2 linked regions of the Lonchura striata genome follow. The protein of the gene in region 2 binds, or shares a complex with, the protein of the main gene of each other region. Links are inferred from orthologs where the notes say so. Each region holds a gene or a part of one and is shown on either strand. Other genes may lie near its edges.

Region 1 (3,714 bases), on a different chromosome or scaffold from region 2:
TCTGGGGGGCACGGGGGGCTCAGGGGGGAGAGCACGGACCCTCCCCCTCCCACAGCCCACCCAGGCGGGCAGGGGGCTGCAGGCGGGAGGGCACCCACGCCCAGGAGCCAGAGCCCCCACGGGGTGGGCAGGGGTGACACGTGTGGGGGACGCTGCGGTGGGACAGGAGCAGGGGAGTGCAGGCTGGGAGACACACCCAGGGTGGGGGGCACGGGAAGGGGAGCACAGGGGAGGGGTCTCACCTGCAGCAGGTCCCGGCCAGTCGCGTTCAGCTTGGGCACCACGTTGACCAGGGAAGTGGTAGCTGGGTACATGGGGTAGGGCTGGGGACACACAGGTGACCCCAGCTCCCCCAGACCCCCTTATTTCCTCTGACCCCCCGCGCCCCCTGCCCTCACCTTGTAGTCCGGCAGCTTGGCCATGGCCGGCCACTGCTCCTCCGTGGGGGTCCCCAGCAGCGTGGGGACAGTCAAGGGCCACCACGGGGGCACCCAGCACCTGGCCCTGCCCCCCTGCCCAGCCGAGGGGGTTCCCATTTCAAGGGATCCTCATTCTCAGAGCTCCCCATTCCGCAGGGGATTCCTATTCTGCAGGGCTCCTCCTTCCCAGGGGAGGTCTGCATTCCCGAGGGCTCTCCATTCCAGGATTTCCCCAATCCCCCATTCCAGAGGGATTACCATGCACAGTGCTCCCCATTCTCAGGGGATTCCCTATTCCCAGGGGAAGTCCCCATTCCCAGGAGGAGTCCCCATTCCCAGGGGAAGTCCCCATTCCCAGGAGGAGTCCCCATTCCTTTGGGTTCCCCATTCCCTGAGCTCCCCATTCCCAGGCCGTCCATTCTGGTGCTCCCCATTCCCAAGGATATCGGAAGATCCTCTTCAGCTGGTCGTCCACGTCGTTGCCCGGGAAGAGGGGCCGCCCTGCGTTGGCCAGTTCTGGGGGGACAAGGGGTGGTTCCCACAGGCCCCCATGGCCCCCCAGGCCCCCCTCCGCTCCCCTGGCCCCCCAGTGTACCTGCAAAGATGCACCCGGCTGACCACATGTCAATGGAGGTGGAGTAGAGCTTGGCACCGAAGAGAACATCGGGGGGCCGGTACCACAGAGTGACCACCTGCGGAGGGACAGGGACACTGGGACCGGGACACGGGACCCCCAGCCAGCTGGGCAGGGCCAGGACCCCGGGCCCCAGCAGCCCCAGCAGCCCCAGGAGCCCCCGCTCACCTCGGCTGAGTAGCAGCGCACAGGGATGCCGAAGGCCCGAGCCAGCCCGAAATCCGCCAGCTTGAGCTCCCCGTTCTGGGGGGACAGACGGGGTCAGCGTGGGGGGCCCCACCTGCATCCCCTGCACCCCAGGACTGTGGCCCTGTTGCCTTTCTCATCATTGGGAACAGGGGAGAGATGGAGCTGCAGCTGTGGCTGGACAGACACCAGGTGTGGCTGCCAGGACAGACAGACAGACAGATAGGCAGGCAGCCCCCATTCCCAAGTGTGACCCCTGAGCACAGCCCCGCTCCCAGGTGTGACTGCCCAGGACACACAGACAGACAGCCAACCAGCCAGCCCCATTCCCGAGCGCAGCCCCGCTCCGTGCCCGGTCCCGGCTGTTCCCCGTGCTCCCGCCGCCGCACCCGGTTGATGAGCAGGTTCTGGGGTTTCAGGTCCCGGTGCAGCACGTTGCGGCTGTGGCAGAAGGCGAGGCCCTTCAGCAGCTGGTACATGAACGACTGCGGGGGCACGGGCGGGCTCCGTCAGCCAGCCCGCGGCACCGGGCGGGGCAGGGCCGGCACCCCGGGGGCTCCCCGGGACCCCCGGACCCACCTTGACAATCTCGGGGTCCAGATCCCCGTTGCAGCTGTCAAAGTATTTCTTCAGGTCCTGAGGGAAGCGAGGGGGGCCGGGAGCGGTGACCCTCAGAGACCCCCCCGGACCCCCGTGCCCCCCCGGACACCCGTGCCCCCGGAGCTCACCTGGTCGCAGAACTCAAAGACCAGGGTCAGCTTCTTGTCGCTGTGCAGAACGTCGTGCAGCCTGCAGGGCAGGGGTTCCTGAGCCCCGCAGCGCCTGGCCGGGCCCGGGGCACCGGGCAGGAGCATCCCCCGAGCCGCGACGCCGGTACCCGGGGCCGCCCGGAGCCCCCGGGGCCGCCCGGAGCCCCCGGTACCTGACAATGTTCTTGTGCTTGAGCTCCTTGAGCAGGCAGATCTCCCGCAGCGCCGAGCTGGGCACCCCCTGCGGGACACGCGGGTTGTGGGAGCCGGGGCTCCCGGGGGTCCCGGGGGGCGTCCCGGGGTCCCGGGGGGATCCCAGCCCCGGCCCCCCCCTCACCTCATCATCGTCGTCCAGCCGCACTCGCTTCAGCGCCACGATCTCGTGCGTCTCCCGGTTCTTGGCCTTGAACACGGTCCCGTAAGTGCCTGCGGGAATGGAACGGGGTCACGACCGAGGCCCCGGTACCCGTGCCGACACCGCCGCCGGGCCCCACAGCAGCGCCGGGCCCCGCGGCAGCACCGGCTCCCTCCGTGCGGCTCCGGCCCTGCCGCACCTTCGCCGATCTTCTCCAGCTTCTCGTATTTCTGCATCGCGCCGCGATCGGTCGCGGCCCCGCAGCGGCCCCGGTCCCGGTCCCGGTCCCGGCCCCGCCGCGCCTCCCGGCAGCCCCCGCGCGCCCCGCCGCGCCTCCCGGCGGCCCCGCGCGGCCCCGCCCCGCCGCGCCTCCCGCGGGGCCCGCCCCCGCCCCGGGGTTCCGGGTTCGAGCCCCGGCTCCGCCCGCCGCCTCCCCGCCGGACCCCCGGCTCCCCCCGCCGCCCCCCGCGGGACAGCGCCGCTGCGCGGGCGCCCGGTGGGGATCCCTTGCGGGGACGGTCTCCGCGCTCGCTGGGTCGGTGCCGGAAGCGGTGCGGACCCGCCCGGTGCCGCCCCGCCCCGGCGCGCTCCCGCCGTTCCGCCCCGCGGGAACGCGCAGACCCGCCCGGCGCGGCTGGACCGTCCGGTAAGCAGCGGCACCGGCACCGGGATCGTGAACGGAGGTGGTGAGGCTGGCGGGGCTCAGCACGGCTGGTCCGGTCCCGGTCCCGGTCCCGGTCCCGTTCCTGGTCCCGTCCCAGTGTCCCCACCCTCCCGGTGCCGCCCGTCCCAGTCGGTGCTGTCCCCGGTCCCCGCACGCTTCTCTCACCGAGCCCCCTCCATTCCACTGCCTCCCCGCCCGCCCGCGGCAGCTCCGATCCCGGTCCCGGTCCCGTCCTGCCCCGCCCTGGCAACCCCAGGTCCCGGCGCGGCCGCGGCTGTGCTTCTCCCAGTTCCTCCCCGGGGCCCCTGCCGCGCTGGGGGGGTTCAGGGGGGCTGTGCCGTGCCCCGGGACTCCGGTTCTCCCGGCACATGCTCCGGGTGCCTTGGCTCCTTCGGCTCCAGGTGGAGCAATGCCCAGCCCGGGCATCCCCCAGGGCCACCCCGAGACCCCTCCCGGACACCCGGGACCCCTCCCGGCCCGCAGCGATGCTGCCCGGGACGTTGAAGCTCGGCCGCTCTCCGCCGCCACCGGAGCTCCGCGCCGGGCGGTCCCAGGTGCCCCCGGAGCCTGCTCTCGGGGTGACGCTGGATCCCGGGGGCACGGGGGAGCCAGGACCCCGCATCCACCATCGTCCCTCTCTTACAGCGAGGCCGCTCCATGCGCTTGCCCCGCGGCGCCTGAGCCCGGCAGCCCTCGGCAGGTGAGTG
Region 2 (3,714 bases):
GTTAAACCCTCTGTCGTCAACACAAATCCCGTTCCCAGCGCCCGAGGGCTGGGAGAGCAGAAAAGACTCGGCCACGAGCCGCTGCCGTGTAATGGATGGTCAGTGCATTTTTATTTAATCAGCACAGTACAAAAATAAATAAAAATAAGGGGAGGGGATTAAATTACAGGCACACTGAGCCCCATGACACAGTCGGTCGGGTTATAAACCACACATACTTACAAACACACTATACACATACATACAAAATGAGACAAATATAAATTAATAAGTAACAATACCCATCAATTTGGTCAACAAAGATCTACAGAAGAGATTGCACTAAAAAAACGTACGTACACATGTATCATTAGCAGGGTCCAATGTACAGCCATGAAGAGCTTCAAGTGAAAAATCAAAAATAAAAATAAATGGCACGTTATTTCTCCCTCTTGTTCGCCAGTTTAACGCCCGATGGACCAGAACTAAACTAGAACTGAGCACACGGAGAAAAGAAAACGATAAAACCCAAAAAGAAGGTCTCAGTCCCCAGGCCTGATACGGGAATACCAGCTCGAGACTGCGGTGTCGGGGTGGTGGCGGGTCTTTGTGCATGGGTGTAATTTTACAGCCATCTCTCGTTAAGGTTTTTCATTTGATTATTATTTTTTTATGCGTTTTTTCCTTTTTTTTTTTGTTTCCCGAAGACACAAAATGCTCCTGTTTGCATGCGCAATACCACTGGAAAAGCAACAATGACAGAAGAAAGAAGGGTTTTTTTCTCTTTCCCCCCCGCAGGTTTGCAGTTCGTTGGGTTTGTTCTAGAAGAATTCATATAGCAGCATGTGGCGGCTCCCCTTGCTTGCACACTCAAGTAGATCCTTTACACAATACTCATGACCAGTGCACGATGGGAACAAGACATTTCACATTGATCTCATGAACAGTAGCGGTGATTCCCGTCACCCGGACCCGCTCGGGAATTCGAGTCTCTTCAAAGAAAATAAATAAAGAGGGGGGGATGAGGGAGGAAGGGGGGTGGGGGGGTCCCCGGGCCGTGCCCGCGTCTCTGTCCCGGTGCTGCCGGTGAGTCCCGACCGGGCCGGTTCAGCCGCCCGCGCTGGAGCCTTTACAGGATTTTTTTTCCCCCTTAATTTTCTTTTTCCCCTACCTGGGCTCTGTCTCGCTGATGCGGTGACCGGCCCCGCGGAGCCCCGCTCCGCTCCCGGGGACATCGGCTGGGGGGGTTCTCGGCCCCCCATCCATGAATTGCTGGGATCGAGCCGGTGGCGGAGCCGCAGCATCCCGGGCCCGCAGCGTGGGGAGGGGGCGGCGGCTGGAAAGCGGCGGCGCGGGAGGGAACCGGGGGTCTGCTCTCCGGTCCGGCGGCGGCCGAACCCCCCGTGTCCCCCCGGGGGGAGGCGGCGGCTTCCGCCCTTCCTTCCCCGCCGGGCAAAGCCCCCGGGAGCGGCTCCGGGGCGCGGGGGGCGGCGGGCGCTCACCGGTCGAGGCCGATGAGCAGCCGGCCCTTCTCCTCGGAGCCGCTCTCCTTCTTGAGGTCGGCGAAGACCTGCGTGAAGTAGTGCGGGTCGGCGTTGACCTGCAGCATCTTGGGGCTCATGAGGTCGATGATGGAGAGGCAGCGGTCCCAGAAGGCCTCCTTACAGCTCTCCACCAGGAAGGGCTTCAGCGGGTAGGAGATCTCGTTGCCCATGTAGGAGTAGGAGAGGTACAGGCAGGTGAGCAGCACTGCCTGCAGTTCGTGGTCACTGGCCACCTCGGCCGAGATGACGTCCCGGCACAGCATGTAGAGGAAGACCACGTTGGCCGGCGTGATGAAGCCCTGGTCCTGCCAGCCCTGCAGCAGCAGCGAGCGGTCCACGGAGCGCAGCCAGAGCACGGGGTCGGTGGGCGAGAGGTGCTTCAGGCGGTAGCAGCGGCGGCACAGGAACTCGCCGAGGCAGCGCAGCAGCTCGCTGGTGGACGCCTGCACCACGACCCGGCGCGGGGTGGCGGCGGCGGCGGCGGGCGCGGCCGGGGGCGCCTTCTGCGCCGAGGCGAGGGCGGCGGCGGCGGCGGCGGGGGGCGGCGGGGGGGCGAAGGTGGCGAGGTTGGCGCAGGAGAGCGACTTCTTCAGGTTCTCGTTGTTGAGGTGGGTCACGTTGCTCTGGTAGCCGCCGTTGGGCTGCACCTTCTTGGAGCTCTTCTTCTTGGCGGAGACGGCGGCGATGCGCTTCCAGGGCAGCACCGAGATCAGCGAGTGCCGCTTCAGGCCCTTCTCCTTCGCGTTCTTGCTGTTCTGCACCGCCGTGTAGTGCCCCACCGTGGCCGCCCCCTCCTCGAACAGCGGGGCCTTCCGGTAGCTCGGCGACAGCGACAGCACCGTGCCCATGGCGCCGGCCGCCCGGCGGGCGCCCGGCGGGCCCGCGCCGCCCGCCCCGGCCCCGGCCCCGGCCCCGGCGCGGCCCGGCCCGGCCGGCCCCGCTCTCGCTGCTCCGCCGCCGCCGCCGCCGCCGCTCAGCGCCGCGCCCGGACCCGCCCCGCGCCGCGCGCGCTCCCGCCGGCGCAGTGCGCGCGCCCGCCGCCCCGCCCCGCCCCGCCACGTGCGCCCGCCGCGGCAGCCGAGGCCACGCCCCCTTCGGCCCCGGCCCCGCCCCCGCACGGCAGCGGGCGGCAGAGCCCCGCCCCCATTGCCTTGAATGGATCGAGCCCCGCCCCCGCCAGCCAGGCCCCGCCTTCCGCTGTTTATGAATGGAGGGTGCCCCGCCCCTCCCGGGCCCGGGCCCGCCCCTCCCGGGCCCGGCCCCGCCCCTCCCGGGCCCGGCCCCGCCCCTCCCGGGCCCGGCCCCGCCCCTCCCGGGCCCGGCCCCGCCCCTCCCGGGCCCGGCCCCCGGGCGCTGCCCGCCTCGGGGTCCCGCCGGTCGCGGACCCCGCGGTGCCCCCGAGCCCCCGGGCAGGGCCGGGCAGGACCAGGGGAGCTGCCGAGCCCCCGGGCAGGGCCGGGCACGACTCGGAGGGAAAAAGAATAAAAAGCAACGAAAATAATTATTTAGAAAATCCCAAAATTAAGATTTAAAACCCTTCTCCACTGGCGTCCCGGAGCCGCAGCCCGGATTCGGAGCCGGGCCCTACAGCCCGCACCGCCCCCGGCCGCCCTTCGCCCCCGCTTCCCCCCTCCGGCGGTGCCTCCCCGGCTCCGGGCCGGGGGCCGCCACTCGCCCCGGAGCTACCGGGGCAATGAAATGCCCGGAACCGCGTTCTGAGGCCGGGCCGGGTTCTGGGGAACGCGCCTGCAACTCCCGTACCCCGCGGGTCCCACGGCTCCGCTTGGAACCGCCGCCCCCGCGCAGCCCGGGATCCCGTTGCCGCCGGACCGGGATCCCATTGCCGCTGGACCGGGATCCCGTTGCCGCCGGACCGGGATCCCGTTGCCGCCGGACCGGGATCCCGTTGCCGCCGGGACCGGAGCGGCGCCGGCCCGGGAGGCACCGGGCAGCACCGGCCCCGCCGGGCTCGGCGCGACCTGCAGCGACACTCGGAGGCCGCTCCGCCGCCACCGGGGCTGCCGGTCCGCTCCGGCCGCGGAGAGCGGAGCCGCCCGCGGGGGGACCCTGCGGCCCAGGAGCTGCTGCCGGCAGCAGCGGGGAATGCTCGGGCACATCCCGGGCCTGCACTGATGACCCAAATTCATTTCTATTCATTTATACCTATTTATGCCCTGCCCCGGACCTGCAG

Evidence for each region. Proteins that work in one complex are often made in the same cells at the same time.
Region 1: the proteins of CDK5R1 (region 2) and CDK5 are in contact, whole or in part, in a crystal structure (PDB 3O0G), measured with the Homo sapiens proteins. The link is inferred for Lonchura striata from reciprocal best matches to the Homo sapiens genes CDK5R1 and CDK5. Residues at the interface, in NP_003876.1 of Homo sapiens: Trp190, Gln193, Thr197, Pro198, Ala199, Phe203, Tyr231, Leu232, Ser235, Tyr236, Met237, Gly238, Asn239, Glu240, Ile241, Ser242, Tyr243, Pro244, Leu245, Lys254, Glu255, Trp258, Asp259, Cys261, Leu262, Ile265, Asn266, Ser269, Ser270, Met272; in NP_004926.1 of Homo sapiens: Leu37, Asp38, Glu42, Gly43, Pro45, Ser46, Ser47, Leu49, Arg50, Ile52, Cys53, Leu54, Lys56, Glu57, Val69, His71, Leu76, Arg120, Asn121, Val122, Leu147, Arg149, Ala150, Phe151, Gly152, Ile153, Pro154, Arg156, Cys157, Tyr158.

What each region holds. Positions count from the first base shown.
Region 1 is NC_134603.1:156,839,914-156,843,627, forward strand, and holds the start of CDK5 (cyclin-dependent kinase 5), read right to left. Parts: upstream 2,676-3,714; 5' UTR 2,665-2,675; intron 2,653-2,664; exon of another isoform or gene 2,628-2,652; 5' UTR 2,580-2,627; coding exon 2,543-2,579; intron 2,415-2,542; coding exon 2,326-2,414; intron 2,230-2,325; coding exon 2,162-2,229; intron 2,029-2,161; coding exon 1,968-2,028; intron 1,876-1,967; coding exon 1,819-1,875; intron 1,725-1,818; coding exon 1,629-1,724; intron 1,297-1,628; coding exon 1,222-1,296; intron 1,112-1,221; coding exon 1,015-1,111; intron 936-1,014; coding exon 866-935; intron 460-865; coding exon 399-459; intron 324-398; coding exon 243-323; intron 2-242; coding exon 1-1. UniProt on the Homo sapiens protein: Proline-directed serine/threonine-protein kinase essential for neuronal cell cycle arrest and differentiation and may be involved in apoptotic cell death in neuronal diseases by triggering abortive cell cycle re-entry. Interacts with D1 and D3-type G1 cyclins.
Region 2 is NC_134627.1:2,692,267-2,695,980, reverse strand, and holds CDK5R1 (cyclin-dependent kinase 5 activator 1), read right to left. Parts: upstream 2,408-3,714; 5' UTR 2,372-2,407; coding exon 1,478-2,371; 3' UTR 83-1,477; downstream 1-82. UniProt on the Homo sapiens protein: p35 is a neuron specific activator of CDK5. The complex p35/CDK5 is required for neurite outgrowth and cortical lamination. Involved in dendritic spine morphogenesis by mediating the EFNA1-EPHA4 signaling. Activator of TPKII.